Elephas maximus indicus: one gene and its partner. The protein of the gene in region 2 interacts with the protein of the main gene of each other region in a pairwise test. Links are inferred from orthologs where the notes say so. Each region holds a gene or a part of one and is shown on either strand. Other genes may lie near its edges.

Region 1 (7,586 bases), about 45 Mb from region 2:
CATGGAACCAGAAACATTTTTGTGCCCGTTTTTTGGAAAATAACACTTGCCACAACAAGGAACAAAAAAACACTGGGAACCAAGGCAGCTGTTCACCAAGAGCTCATGTGCCTATGCCTGCGTGGGTGTGCCCTACTCTAGCACTCTCTCAGATCACGTGGCCTTTTGACTCTGCTTCATTATCTCGTCTGTCCTCATGGCCACCCAGCTCCCAACCTACAGGCGCTACTGGCCTCAGTTCTTTCTGCCTTCCAAGAATCCCAGGAACTCTCCTCTCCTCTCCTCAGTGGGACTGGCTGTCAAGCTGCCCCACCCCTTCCTGGCCAAGCGGCAGGTGGCGCATGGTTGGAGTTAGGCCAATGCAGCTCTCTGTCTCCCAGGAATCTGAATCTTGAGTGGAGGATCCCAATGGCTAGAAATTTGTCCGAGGTAGCACCTGAAGCACCCACTGCCCAGTTCCTGCTCCCCAGACCCCAGGAGTCTTACCAAGCCCTGCCTTGGCTCAGCAAGCACCTGCAGGCTTCCAGTAAACACCTCTGGCCTACATTAGCCAAAACTGGTTTCTGTTACTTGCGAACAATCAACCCCAATAAATATCCATATTCAGTTCCAGCCACACCTGAAGCTTATTAGCAGTTTCTGGCTCCCAAAATTCCACGTTTCCGGGAAAGAGCATTTGATGGCTCAGCTGGAGAGACTTCCACCTGCAACCCAATCAGCAATGATTCCAAGAACATTCTCAAACAAAGGGCATCCTTGTAGGCGAGGCAAACACTCCCAGTGGTGCCTCCACAATGCGCTGCCATTTAACTACTACGGCATTCCCACTCCCATTTCACAAAGTCACCGAGGAACAGAGGAGGCAGAGTGGCAGAGCTAGGATTTCACAAAACCCTGTCTGCCCCATATGATATGCTCCTTCCATGGCCTCCAGAAAAGTCTCCCCAAAAGTGGGGTCCCCAAGTGACCTCCCAGAACTACAGCCCTGGCTCGCCTGGTTGTTCGGCAGCTTGATGGCCCTGCTGAGGCTTTAGTCTTGTTGCCCCCTGGGTACGAGAGGCTCTCAGTTCTACCTTCTGCCCTCAAATGGCAATCTCTGAAACAAATAAATCAGGGAAAGATTAAAAAAAAAAAGATTTGTTATCAGTGCCAATGCAGGTGGCCCAGCTCCAAGCCTCTTAAGGCAAACACGTGCTGCTAGGTCCTGCAGCAGACACACACCGACAACAGGGGAGATCAACCCTGTCCTTCAGACATAAACATCCTAAGTCAGGCCTGTCTTCAGAGCTGCCAGAGGCTCCGCACGTAGATGTGTCCTCCCTCCCTGGAGAGGCTCCAGGCTGCAAACGGGGCCTCTGCTCTAAGAGAGGCTTCATTTTCTAGAAGGTGCCAATGTGATTTGGTGATAAATCCAGCTAATTTGTCAATACACTTGTCCCATGCTTAAAAGCCAGTCTTTGGAGGGAGAGCTTGTTGGCAAATCAGGAAGTTGCTGTCAGTGCAAACTGTCTAAGCATAATTCTGCCTTGGTGGTGTTTCCTGGGTGCTTAATCTAGGCCAGGCTCTGTGCCAAGCATTGCTTCCTTCGCTGCTCGCATCTGCCCAAGAAAATGGGTATTATTATTGTCCTCATTCTCCGGTGAGGCAGCTGAGACTCAGAGAGGTTAGTTTACATGATCCCCTAGTCAACCCACCAGTCACCTCTACTAGGTATACTAGTTAAATTATAAGTAACGTAAAGCCCAACTTTAAATAGCATGAAAAATGAAGGATATTTTACTAGCTCCTGAAACTGCAAAGTCCAAACTTCAGGGCTGGTTTGACTCAGGGTCTTAACACAGTCATCGAGTGCCTGATTTCTTCCCATCTCTCATGTCTGTCTCATGGGCATGGGGCTCCCCTCAGGGGGGAAAGATGGTTGTCGCAGTGCCATCCACACACCACAAGTCCAGAGAGAGAGAAAACATTTCTTTCCCAGCACCCCTGAGCAACCACCTTCTCCAGGCTTGGTGGCCCTGACTGGGTCTCCCACCATCCCTGAGTTCTGCTTGGGGCACAGTGCCAGCACCCTGTGCCTGAGGGCCAGGCGTGGCCCTAAACTCCCAAATGCAAGGACTGCAGGGGAATAACAACTAGCGGGGCTTCCAAGAGAAGGGGGAGTAGACTTGGGGGAGGGGTCATCACAATTGCAATGTTGTAGAGCAATGATTTGAACTCAGGCCTGTCCTGCACCAAAGCCTATTCATTCAAACAGTATTTATTGAGCTCTTACTGTGAGTTAAGCACAATTTTAGATGCTAGACACAGGTCTTAAAGGTCCCTGCCTTCCTACCCACTGCTGGCTCTGCTGCCTCTTGGGGACAAAGTCCTCTGTATTTACAAGGCATTGGAGATGGACAAACGTTGTCCTGTTCAGCTTTTTTAGGTCTAACTCAACTCTGTAACTCCAGGCTGCTAATTTCATTTCTCTCTCAGCCTCCTCGTCTATAATATCAGGAATAATAACACCTTCCTCAAAGGGTTATGAAAAAAGGGGAATACAGGGAAACTTAAAGCAGCCTAACATTCAACCTAGTGAGCACAGAGTAATCAGCTTTCTTTTCATCCACTGGTGCTGGGATATGGACTTGTGCACAGCGAACCCTGACCTCACTGTCCTGGGCTTCATAAAGAAATAACTGGTATGAGCACTGCTCCAAAGACGCTCATTCGACCTTTCTACTCAGCCTCCAGCTTACTTCTTACAATCCAAACCTCCTTCACCTACTTGATTTCAGTAGCCCATCTTTACTAAACAGCCCACCCGGTTTCTAAGCTCGTCTTGAAATCTGAGAGCAAGGGTTCTCTGAGCAACGCGAGCAAACTCAAGGCTGAGGACACCAAAAAAGCATCCCTCCGATGAATACACGCCCTAAAAGGACACTGCAAAATCCTTGAACCTAGCCCATGCCCAGAATGCTCCCTCACCTTTAACCCAAAAAAATCAAACCCGTTGCTATCGAGTCAATTCCAACCCTCAGTGACCCCACAGGAGAGAGAACTGCCCCATAGTTTCCAAGGAACACCTGGTGGATCCGATATCGCACCTAAGGGTCAGCAAGTGGAGCTCAGAATCTTCCGCCTGAAGTCCAAACGTGTTTTATTCTCACTTTTATTTTCACTAAATGATTCCATATTGGTCAGCTGAAGTTCCAGACAGCTAGTTTGGAAAGCTGGAGCACAGAATCAAGCCACCAGCCAAGCTCTGAGCCACAGCTGGCACCATAAGTATGGAGTGAAGGAAGGAGCCCCTCGGTTCTCAAGACGCAGAAGGTAAACTGCCCTTTGGCGCCCTTTTGCCAGTTCCCAGCTTTACCCACGCCCTCATCCCCATCCTCGACCCTCTTCTCACTTTTAGGCAGTTTCCCGAGACCAAACCCGTTGCCCTGGACTTGAATCCCACTCCCAGCGACCCTACAGGACGTGCTGACCTGCCCCACAGTACTTCCGAGGCAGTAATTCGTCTTGGCAGAAGTGCAGCCAGAACGCTCCTGGGAAACGAGGATAAGGAGGCTCCGTCTCTGGTACTGTGGACACGTTACCACGAGGGCCCGGTCCCGGGAGGGCATCATGCTCGGCTGAGGGTCAGCGGAGAGAGGCAGACCCTCGGCGAGGCGCGCGGACGCGGCGGCTGCACCGGCGGGTTCACAGCAGCAGGCCGGGGCGCCGGCACGGAAGCCGGCCGTGCTCCGTCCCTTGCCTCAGGGTCGCTATGAGCCGGACAGCACCACAGCACCTAACGACAAGCTCACGGAAGCCTCGTCCGGGTGCCTCAGAGCGGCCGGCGGGCTCCAGCCGCGGGCCTTTCGGTTAGCAGCCGAGCCCTGTAACCACTGCTCAGCCGGGGCTCCTGGGTCCCCGCTTACCAGAAGACCTTCCCAACCCCTCAGCCCGTCAACTCCAAGGGCCTCAAGCTACAAACGGCAGCGCCCGCTCGGGTCACCGCTTGGGCAGATAATTACCCTCTCGGAGGGTGCACGTGCTCCCGGCGACCACACGCGATGTCTGACTGAGCGCCTCAGTGGGCTGCCCCGGATGCACAAGTCGCGGGGCGTCACATGCCCCGGAACCGGAAGCCCCAGCTGCAGTTGAGCGTGCGCGCATGAACCTCTCCGGCAGAGCATCACAAGTGGGCGGCCTCGGCTCCGGGGGCGGGGCCTGGAAACTTTATCCAATCAACGATATCTCACCTAACTATTTGGACCGGAGTCTGTGACCCGGTTGGACCAATGAAAGCTCGAGCGCTGCCGTTGCCTGGACCCTCCCCCGCCCGGAAACCGCGGCTCTCTTCCCGCCACACCTAGGCGGGGCTACCTTCCGACTCGCCTTCCCATTGGTTCACTCAGCTGCCGGTCACGCAAGGCGGGCCTCCAGTGGGAATCTGCACCGGGAGCCGCCGGGGGCGCCTCCGGCCGCCAGTCGCCGCCGCCGCCTAGGGCCCCGGCGATCCAGCTGAGTGAGCCCCGCTGGAGGAAAAGAGGGCGGCTCTTCCCGCGCCCCCCACAGGTGAGCCATGGGGGAGCTGAGAGCCTCGGCAGTCCCACCCGTGACCTTCAGGTGCCGGGCCTCTCGGTAGACCTGCAGTCCGCGACGCCCCCTGTCCCCGCCCCGTCGCCCCTGGGGACTCCTACCGCCCCCCGCGCACCGGAGACGCCCCCGCCCCACGGGGACTCCCCCCGCCCACCGGAGACGGCCCCGCCCCCCCGGGACGCCCACTGCCCCTGCCCCGCCGGCCCCCGGGGACGCCCACCGCCCACCCCGGACGCCTACCCGCCCCCACTCCCCGCCCACGCTCACTGGGGGTCGCTGAGTCGCACCCCGACCCGCGCTGGCGAGGGAGGCGGAGACCCTCTCCGCCCGCGCTGACCCGGGATGTGGTCTGCACAGGTAGGTCGCCGACCCCATCTGGTACATTGGGGACCACGCGCGGACGCGGAGCGATTCACGAGAGACAGGGAGAGGAACACGGGCATTCCCGAGCCTTGCTTCACTGTCAAGGGAAACCCGCGGGTTTTGTCGCTAAATCAGGAGGTATCAGTGCAGGCCTGCGTTAGGTTTCTGCGTGTGCGGGAGGAAGAGCATGCGTTCAGAGAGAAACTCTCGGTAAGTTTGCATTGCAGTGAGCAGGAGAGAGCCATGTAGAGGAGCAGCTCTGAGGCCTCAGAAGAACTGTGTAACTGTTGCATCTTCTCACTCAGCATTCGGTGATGTGGAGCCCAGAGAAAAGGAGGCGGTATTCACAGATTTTCATTTATCCCACTTTCCACAGTCTCATTATTGCTCTGTATTAACGTAGCGAAGAGACGTGGTCGTTTATTGGGAGAGGGGACATGATTGTGAGTGGAAGCAGAGGTGGGGGAACAGGGGCTCAACTGAAGAGAAGGTCCGGAGACAATGGAATTGAGACGATGGAGGACTGACGGGACATCAGGATGAGGAGGAATGTGGACCTTGTAATGGTCGGGCCTTCCAGAAAGAGAAATCTGAGTTTCCAGAAAGGAATTTTCAAACCACTTGTCCTGGAGCTAAGCTCAAGTAGACAAATTCAGCTTTAGTTAAAAAATGCAGGGAACTTTGAGCAAATAAAAGGCCAGCAGTCTTTTGAAATTTTTCAAGGTCCACAGACGTTTTTATGAACGGTAAATCAGGCATCTACTTACTGTTGTGATCTTGTTCCAGACTGTTGTTTTCTGATTTATAAAGCTGTTGTGTAATGTCCTCCTCACCCATTCATTATCCAGCTGCTGGCAACGCTCCAGGACGGAGCAGAGCTGCCGGGTGGGGTTTCCAAGGCTGTAAATCTTTACAGAAGACTGCAACAGGTTTCTCCCGTGCAGAGGCAGATGAGTTCAAACCACTAACCTTAAGTTTAGCAGCTGAGTGCTTAACCCCTGTGCCACCATGGCTCCTTTCATCCAGCATGGTGATGCTTAAGTGAAGGTAAGGCGTGTAAAGCCCTATCACAGTACCTAGCCCAGAGTAAGTGCGCACTGATGTCTGGTATCGAGGTCCGTGGAGGAAGTGGAAAGACCAGTGTCTGTGGAAGACCCAACTCTTATGTCTAGGGCTGCTCCCCCACCCCCCACCCCCCACCCCCCACCCCCCACCCCCCACCCCCCACCCCCCACCCCCCACCCCCCACCCCCAGCTCTTCACAGGTCTTTACTAGAGGCAGATGCCAGTGCCTTTCCCAGCCTTTAAATCTACCTGACCAGGTCTCTTTCTCCACCCCATGTGGAATCTGTCATCTGTTTTGTTAGCTGATGATTACAGCAGGCTCTAGTGGCACGGTGCTCACGCACTTAGCTGCTAAGTGAAAGCTTAACGGTTCAAACCTGTTAGCTGCTCCATGGGAGAAAGATGTGGCAGTCTGCTTCTATAAAGATTCACGGCCTTTGAAACCCTACAGGGCAATTCTGTTCCGTCCTGTACACGGTTGCCATGAGTCAGAAGGTTTTTTGGGGGGCGGTGCTTATAAGAACAGAAATTTATTGCCTCATGATTTTAGAGGCTTGTAGTCTGAATTCATGTTCTCAACAAAAGGTCTAGGCTAAGATTTTTTTTTTTAAGTGAAAGTTTAAAAACAAGTCAATATCTCATATAAAAACTTATGTAACCTTGCTGTGTACTCCTGTTTCCACTTCTGTATTGACACAGCGAAACCCTGGTGGCGTAGTGGTTAAGTGCTATGGCTGCTAACCAAAGGGTTGGCAGTTCGAATCTGCCAGGCGCTCCTTGAAAACCCCTCTGTGGGGCAGTTCTACTCTGTCCTATAGGGTCGCTATGAGTCGGAATCGACTTGATAGCACTGGGTTTGGTTTTTTGGGGTTTTATTGACACAGCACACTCTTTCCCTCCGCTCTCTATTTTTGTGTCCATTCAGCCAGCATCTGCCCCCCTCTGCCCTCTCCTTTCTTCTCCAGACAAGAGCTCCCTACAGTTTCCTGTGTCTGCTTGTTTGGGTTTACTTGATCCAAGGAGCTCACTCTTCACCAATATCATTTTCTGTCCCATCGTCCAGCCCAATCTCTGTCTGAAGAGCTGGCTTTGGGAATGGTTCCTGTCTTGGGCTAACAGAAAGTCTGGGAACCATGACCTCTGGGGTCCTTCTAGTCTCAGTTCGACCATTAAGTCTGGTCATTTTGCGGAATTTGGGGTCTGCATCCCCATGCTCTCCTCCTGCTCCCTCAGGGGTTCTCTGTTGTGTTCCCTGTCAGGGCAGTCATCAGTTGTAGTTAGGCACCATCTAGTTCTTCTGGTCTCAGGCTGAGGTAGTCTCTGGTTTATGTGGCCCTGTCTGTCTCTTGGACTCACAATTAATGACCTTGTATCCTTAGTGTTCTCCATTCTCCTTTGCTGCAGGTGGGTTGAGACCAATTGATGCATCTTAGATGGCTACTTACTAAGATTTAAGATCCCAGAAGCCGTGCTCTAAAGTGGGATCAGAACATTTTCTTAATAGATTTTATTATGCCAGTTGAGTTAGATGTCCCCTGAACCCATGGTCCCCAAACCCGCACCCCTGCTGCGCTGGCCTTCGAAGCATT
Region 2 (7,224 bases):
ATAGTACACAAGATGACTAAGACAGGAGGCCTGTCCTGAGAGGCCTGTTAGCATGGCAGAGAGGACTGCTAGCCCAGCCAAGTAGGGTCTGCTAGCATAGCATACGGAAGCTGATGGAGCTGTCCTGGTTGGAAGCTGTCCTGATTGACCAACTGCATCCTGTCTCCCGAGTTACTTCCAAGTTGATCATGATCCTGAGTTGTAGCTCATTATTTCCCTAATAAACCCCTTAACTGTGAGTATGGTCTGTGCATTCTGTGTGGGCATTGCAACGAATTATGGAACCCAGTAGAAAAGTAGAGAGTGTTGTAGAGAGTGTTCTGTCTGGTGTGAGAAATGGTGAAGAATTTGGAGAGTGGAGGTGTGTCTGACCTCTACCTCACAGAAACCAGCTTTGTGTTGATTCAGATTCTTACACACCTCATGAAGTTAGACAAGTTTTGAGTATCTTTCAGATCTTCGCTAAAGCTACAGTGTTTCAAGGTACTCCTTCCCTAAACCCTGCAACTAGGTCAGATTCTCACTAAGTGCCCCCATAACACCATCTGCTTTTCCTTCCTGTATTATCACTGTTACATTTGGAGATATATGACCAGGTCTGTCTTTTCTATCAGTTGCCTTCAGGCCAGGATTCAACCCATGTACTTATACAGTAGGCCAGGCATTACAGCTTCAAAGCCAATAGGCACGAAAAAGTAACATAAATGAGAGGTGGGCAGGCTGGGGATTGTGATAAAAAAAACTTACCCCATCTATAGCGTTCAGCGCCATTCATAGGTTCTGTGCAGCAGATTTGCTTCATTTTAAAAGAGATGATGCAAACCCAGATTATTACGTGAATGTTAGGATGATAGCAACTAATTAAAACTAAAAACAGAGAGAGAAAGAGAAGAGAAAAACAACAACCACCTGAAGACTTAATATCCCTCATTTTGAGAACTACTCTGAACTTTCACGATGTACAACCAAGGAATTGTATATAACTGAGGCACAGGTTAGCCATGGGGCTGGCTGGGGTTCAGGGAGAAGTCATTTAGATTTGCTTTTCTCTATTTGTACCTAGGGACCATCACTTAAGTTCTCTTTCAAAGGCCCGTAGGCCTCTAGACTCTCACCAAGTAATTAAGGAGTTATTTATTTTTCTTTCTCTTGGGAAGAAGAGGGAAGTAAGAAACTGATCATTAAGTTTTACTAAATTCTCTGTGTTCCCTCCCAGAGGATAAATTATAAGTATTTGTAACAAGGAATGTGAACATGCAAATCTCATAAAAGCCCTGGGAGAAGTCAATTTTTGTCAAAAACTTATACTTCTTGTTATTTCATGTTTCTATTAAAAAAATAGAGGGACCTCTCTCTGACTGTATGGAAGGAGGGGAGAAAATTGAGACTAGAATTCATAGGCCCATTGTTTAAGCCTCCCATGGGTGATAGTAAAATGGGACAGAATGACTTCCTTCTAACTTCACACCTTTGAGAAGATTGTTTGATTGTATTCACAGATACAGTTTTGGGTTTAGAGAAACCCCTCTGTGACTATTCTTTTACCCAAGTGAGCTATGAGATCCAGACTGCTTAGACGTTAGAAAGAAAAAAATTCACCTTCAGCAGAGAGCTGAAAAATACTTGATTGTTGCTTAGTCTTGGATGGGCACTGAAAGGATGATGAAGGTCTTCTGACTGATTTTCATGTCCTGAAACTTCTCATTGTGTTTTACAAGAAACAAAATAAGGCCTAGTCCAGAGAAGAGAGTCCTCCACGGCTAGGGCAAGGATTCTTCAGCCTCACAATCTCAAGTTGTGGATTTATGCAAATTTAACAGCTTTTCCATGGCAAAAAAGACTGAGCAACAGTTAGATTGAGAGTTACTGACAGACAGAATGAACGTTTTAAATAGTGATGGAACAGCTCCAGAGTGAGCAGGAGAGAGGAAGCCTGTGACTCTGCAGTTGCTTCAATCACTCTGAGCTTCCCGGACTTCTTACAATGTGAGCATCATTCTTCACTGGGGGTGATTCCAGGTGTCAAAGATTCCTTCGCCCTCTCCACTCTTGAACATCAGGGCCTCTAAAAAAAGCTTAGGTTATCTAGAGCTGGGTGAGAGAAAGGGACGTATGTTGCCATGCTTGAGAAAAAACAGACAGAGGAATCTGTCATTTTCCAAATCTCTTTCTAAGAGATTTCGAGAATAATTTTGACAAAATGGGGTCTCTACATTGCATGTTCACCTACAAACAAATCATGGTCTTGGTGGATTTGAAGAATCGAAAAGATCTCTAGGTTGATGTCTAGGTTCTTTACTGAACCAAGTCAAGAGTTAACAGTCCTAACAAGTTCTAAAAATATATTTTCTTCTTAAGAAATTTATACATGTTTCTTACAGAACATTCTTTCCTGCCTCAGAGCCTTCTCTGCCTGGGATGCTCTATCCTTAAATTTTTTATGGCTCTGGACTTACTTCCAACGTCTCCTTCTCAAGGGGCCCTATCTGACCCTGTCTTAGTCATCTAGTGCTGCTATAACAGAAATACCACAAGTGGATGGCTTCAACAAAGAGAAATTTATTCTCTCACAGTCTAGCAGGCCGGAAGTCCAAATTTAGGGCGTCAGCTCCAGGGGAAGCCTTTCTCTGTCAGCTCTGGAGAAAGGTCATCATCATCCATCTTCCCCTGGGCTACAGGCTTCTCCCCGCAGGAACCTTGGGTGCACCCTGCTCCAGGTGCTTCTTTCCTGGTGGTATGAGGTCCCCACTCTGCTTGCTTTCCTTTCCTTTTATCTCTTGTAAGATAAAAGGTGGTGCAGGCCACACCCCAGGCAAACTCCCCTTACATTGGATCAGGGATGTGACCTGAGCAAGGGTGTTACATCCCACCCTAATCCTCTTTAACCACAGGAAGAGATTATGATTTATAACACATAGGAAAATCACAAAATGGAGGACAACCACATGACACTGGGAATCACGGCCTAACCAAGTTGACACATATTTTTAGGGGACACAATTCAATCCATGACAGGCCCTCTCCACCCAATCACAATTTATCATATAAGTCTGTTTCATTTTCTTATAGCATTTATTGCTCTTTTATCTCATTTGATTATCATTTATTGTGTATCTCCTTTTGTCTAAGGCATTTATTATTTTTTACACTCTATATGAATATAATTATATAAATTTACTGGAGCCCTGGTGACACAATGGTTAAGAGCTTGGCTCCTGACCAAAAGGTCAGCAGTTCAAATCCACCGGCTACTCCTTTGAAACCCTATGGGGCAGTTCTACTCTGTCCTATAGGGTTGCTATGAGTTGGAATCAACTCAATGGCAATAGTTTTTTTGGGGGGGGTTTTTTTTGGATATAAATTACTTTTTTTTTTTTTAATAATTTTTATTGAGCTTTAAGTGAACGTTTACAAATCAAGTCAGTCTGTCACATATAACTTATTTATTTATTTATTTTTAATTCAGTTTTATCCCCACTAGAAGGGAGCAGTACTCAGAATAGAATCAAGGCAAGGGGTAGAGGGGCTAATGGTTAAGAGCCTGGCTGCTAACCAAAAGGTCAGCAGTTCAAATCCACCAGCTGCTCTTTGGAAACTCTATGGGCAGCTCTACTTTGCCCTATAGGGTCACTATGAGTGGGAATGGACTGAAACCCAACAGGTTTGTTTGTTTGGTAGACGGTAAGCTCCACGAGGGCGGGAATTTTTGTCTGTTCATTACTTATTCTTAGGTCTGGCAGCAGTACCTTACACATAGTAGCCGTTTAGTAAACATTTACAGAAGGAAGAATGCAGGTACTGAGGGACTAAAAGAAGGAAAAACAGGCAAAAAGTAGGAAGCAGGTAGTAGCCCCACCTCGGACTCAGCCGGCGCCTGCAAGAACTACAACTCCCAGCATGCCCCGGGGCCCAGGGCGGGTCGCGGCCGCCCCGGGCAGAGAGCAGGACCCAGCCCTTCGGGCTCCCGGCGTGCCTTGCGAGCGCCGGCGCCGCCGCAGCGCCCGCCGGAACTTGTGGTCCAAGCGCGGGTGGGGGTGGGGCCGGGCTTGGAGGCGGGCGGGGGCCGGGGGCGGGCGCCGGCCCCTCCCCCGTCACTTCCTGCCAGGCTGCGGGCGCTCCAGCGGCTCCTCAGCGTTTGCGCCGGCAGTCGCCGCCGCGTCTCACTCGGCTCCCCTGGTCCCTGACCCCCGGCCCGGCGGCGCCCGCCCCTCCACGGCCACTCCGCCTCTTCCCTCCCTCCGTCCCTTCCTCCTGTCCCTTCTTCCTTCCTCCTTCCCCTCTTCGCCGCCGCCGCCCAGGACCGCCGGCCGGGGGACGCGCTCAGGGCAACAGCCAGGTGAGGCGGCCGGGCCTGGCCCGAAGGCGCTCGCGCGGGCGCCGCAGCCGCGGGGAGGCGGGCGGCGGGTGGGGCCTAGGCCTCGGCGGCGCCGCGCGCCGGCCTCCTCTCCCGGGCCTCGCTCCCGCCGGCCGGGCCTTCTCCTAGGAGGCGGGTCGTTCTGCGCCCCCGCCTCGCGCCGCCGGGCGGCCTGGCCCCCGGGCGCCCGGCCCTCTCGGCCCCTAGCTGGGGCCAGAAACAGGTGCCCCGACCGCCTTTCCTCATTCCTGGCCGCGCGCTGGATGCCGGAGTTGTTCCCGGGGCGGGGGAGGGGCGAGTCTCGGCTCCGGGCCCCGAGGTCCACGCGCACGGCCGGCCCGGCCGGTGGCACAGCCGGCGCAGGGGCGGCCCAGGTGTGCGACTCGGGGGCTGACCCCGCTCTGCCCCCTTGGGCCAGTCACTTCAGCTGGCAGAAGGGGCTGATACCGCCCCTGCCCCTTAAGGTTCTCAAGGTTCAGTGAAACGGGGCGTGTAAAGCACTTACCAGAGTGTCTCAAAGCGTCAACATTATTTATTAGCGCGATCACAAAACCCAGCGCGCGATCAGTAAGGTGTTTAATTAAATGGATAGAGGGCGCAGAAACTGACCTACCTACCCGTGTTGGGATCCTTGGAAGCGGAAATGTCTCAGCGTGCCCACTGCCAGCGCCAGGACATTGTTTTGGGTTGTTAACCCAAAGGGGCTTACGTTTAATTGGGACACTCTGCAGTAGGTAGCCTGTAAAAGATAGCTGCTGTTATTTCCATCTCATCCGTGTGGCCAACTGCAGGATTTTCACCACTGAGAGCAACCTGTCCGCTTCTTCTGCCATCATCCGGCTTCTTGTTGTCATCTCACTTCTGGGAAACTTGCTGGCAGAAGCAAACCTTTCTGCAGCACCTGCTGTGGGGTCGGGTTCTGGAGGGGGAAGATGGTGTACAAATATGAACAAACATGTCTGTCTGTCCCTTTCTTGCTCTACATCTCGAACTTCTAACTTTTTGTCACTGCAGCTTTGCTTTTATTCCCTCCGTTCCCGTTGGCTGACTTTCATTTTAAGCCCTTGCCCACCTCCGTGTTGCAGTATTGCTTGTATGGAAGTTTTCTTCTGTTCCAGCAAAGATGTGTGCTTCAGTCTGTTCTGCCCTTCTCTGGCTGTGGGGATGTTTTTAAGGTCACTCTTCCCTTCTGCCTTTAGCTTTAATTGTTTAGAGGGTGGGAGAAGGAGTGAGTTAAACTGGGTTTTCAGATGATTTGGGTCTTTCAGGAATCAAAAGTGCTTACCAAATGTAAATGACATTGCTACTTGTTGAAGTTAACACTAAAAATACAATTGGATCCTAGAGGGAGCCTTTTCAATCACCCTGGTGACAGGTGGGATTTTCAGAACAGTGACTTCATTGAAGCATGCCGAGTTTTTGTAATTATGTACTTAGTTGTATAGGTATACCCATCAGTAAGGTAATGCAACTCATGGAAGTTTAGATTTACAAAGGAGTCAGGAGTGTGTTTGCACTCCTGGCATAGTGGTTAAGAGTTCAGCTGCTAACCAAAAGGTCGGCAGTTTGAGTCCACCAGGCTTTCCTTGGAAACCCTATGGGGCAGTTTTGCTCTGTCCTGTAGGGTCACAGTGAGTTGGAATCGACTTGATGGCAACGGGCCTTTTTTTTTTTTGGTTCTCAATAATAACACGCATGATCCAAAGTGGCCTCCCTCTTCTTGACATTTTCTTAGAATTTTCTGACTCAAGGCCTTACCAGGGTTTCTAGTTTAAAATCTTGGCTTCGATGGCTTTTTAAAAACACCTGAGCAAACAACTAAACAACACAAAGCCTGTGTTCTACTCCCACATCGCTAATAGTAACGCTGGGGAAATGGTGTTTTAATATTGCAGTAAATAATGTAAAGTTTTTTTTAACTTTTTATCATGGAAAACATACAGACGCCAAATACTATACTGTAGAAAACCCCTGTGTATTGGTCGCTCATCTTTGACAATTGTTACCTCATAGCCAAGGCCAGCCTTGTTTCATATTGTACCCCTCCCCCAAACGATTATTTTGAAACAAATCCCAAACATCCTATCACAACATTAACGATTTCCACTTTTACCAGATTGCCCCAGTCTGTCACAAAATTTACTTTTAGCAGAGTCATACTTCTTGTTTTGTTAGGATTCTCATCTCTGTTTAGACAGTGTTACTATAAAAAAAATAAAATTTTTTTTATAGTGTTACTATAGAGCAGAAAAAAGAGCAGCAGCTTGATTAGTGCTTAATTCAGTGTTTCTCCCCATCAAACTCACGTCCAAAATATTGGTTTGTTTCTTTGCATATGAAAACAATAATTTTTCTATTAATGACTGTAATTGAAAAGCAGTCAGAAATAACAGATTTTCCTAATCCTATCTGCTGGGGACCTACCTGTTAAACCACTTTTTATGGAGAATTAACTTTGCATCCAAGTTAAAGTTAATTATTTATAATGAAAACCTTTAAAGTTTCTTTATAGTAGTTGTGTAAATATGTTGATCTCAGCTTAGGTTAAGAATTAAGTAAAGGGTATTTGATTTCAGTACCCTCCGTTGTAGAATTATTTTCCAAAGACTGCCCCCATCTGCCTTATTTGCAAACAACAAATTTATTTAAGCAGGAATGAAATCTTAATTTTTGTGACTAGTATGAAATCATAGCACAGGTGTTCACATTTTTCTTTCTGGTCTAAAAAGAGATCTAACCTAGAATAGAAAGTTGACAAGAATATTAAAAATGTCATTGTTACATAATTTTCAAACTTCTGGTCATGAACAGTTTCCAGTTCTTAGTCCTGTAACATTGTTATTTCACTTCTGTAGGTTGACTTTTGAACT

What was found. The genes of interacting proteins can lie anywhere in the genome.
Region 1: the proteins of STAU1 (region 2) and NXT1 interact in binary tests that used the Homo sapiens proteins (3 or more experiments, as listed by UniProt). The two-hybrid records come from large-scale screens. The link is inferred for Elephas maximus indicus from reciprocal best matches to the Homo sapiens genes STAU1 and NXT1.

What each region holds. Positions count from the first base shown.
Region 1 is NC_064843.1:65,789,623-65,797,208, forward strand, and holds the start of NXT1 (NTF2-related export protein 1), read left to right. Parts: upstream 1-4,401; 5' UTR 4,402-4,545; intron 4,546-4,926; exon of another isoform or gene 4,927-5,142; intron 5,143-7,586.
Region 2 is NC_064843.1:20,395,956-20,403,179, forward strand, and holds the start of STAU1 (double-stranded RNA-binding protein Staufen homolog 1), read left to right. Parts: upstream 1-4,085; 5' UTR 4,086-4,336; intron 4,337-7,224. UniProt on the Homo sapiens protein: Binds double-stranded RNA (regardless of the sequence) and tubulin.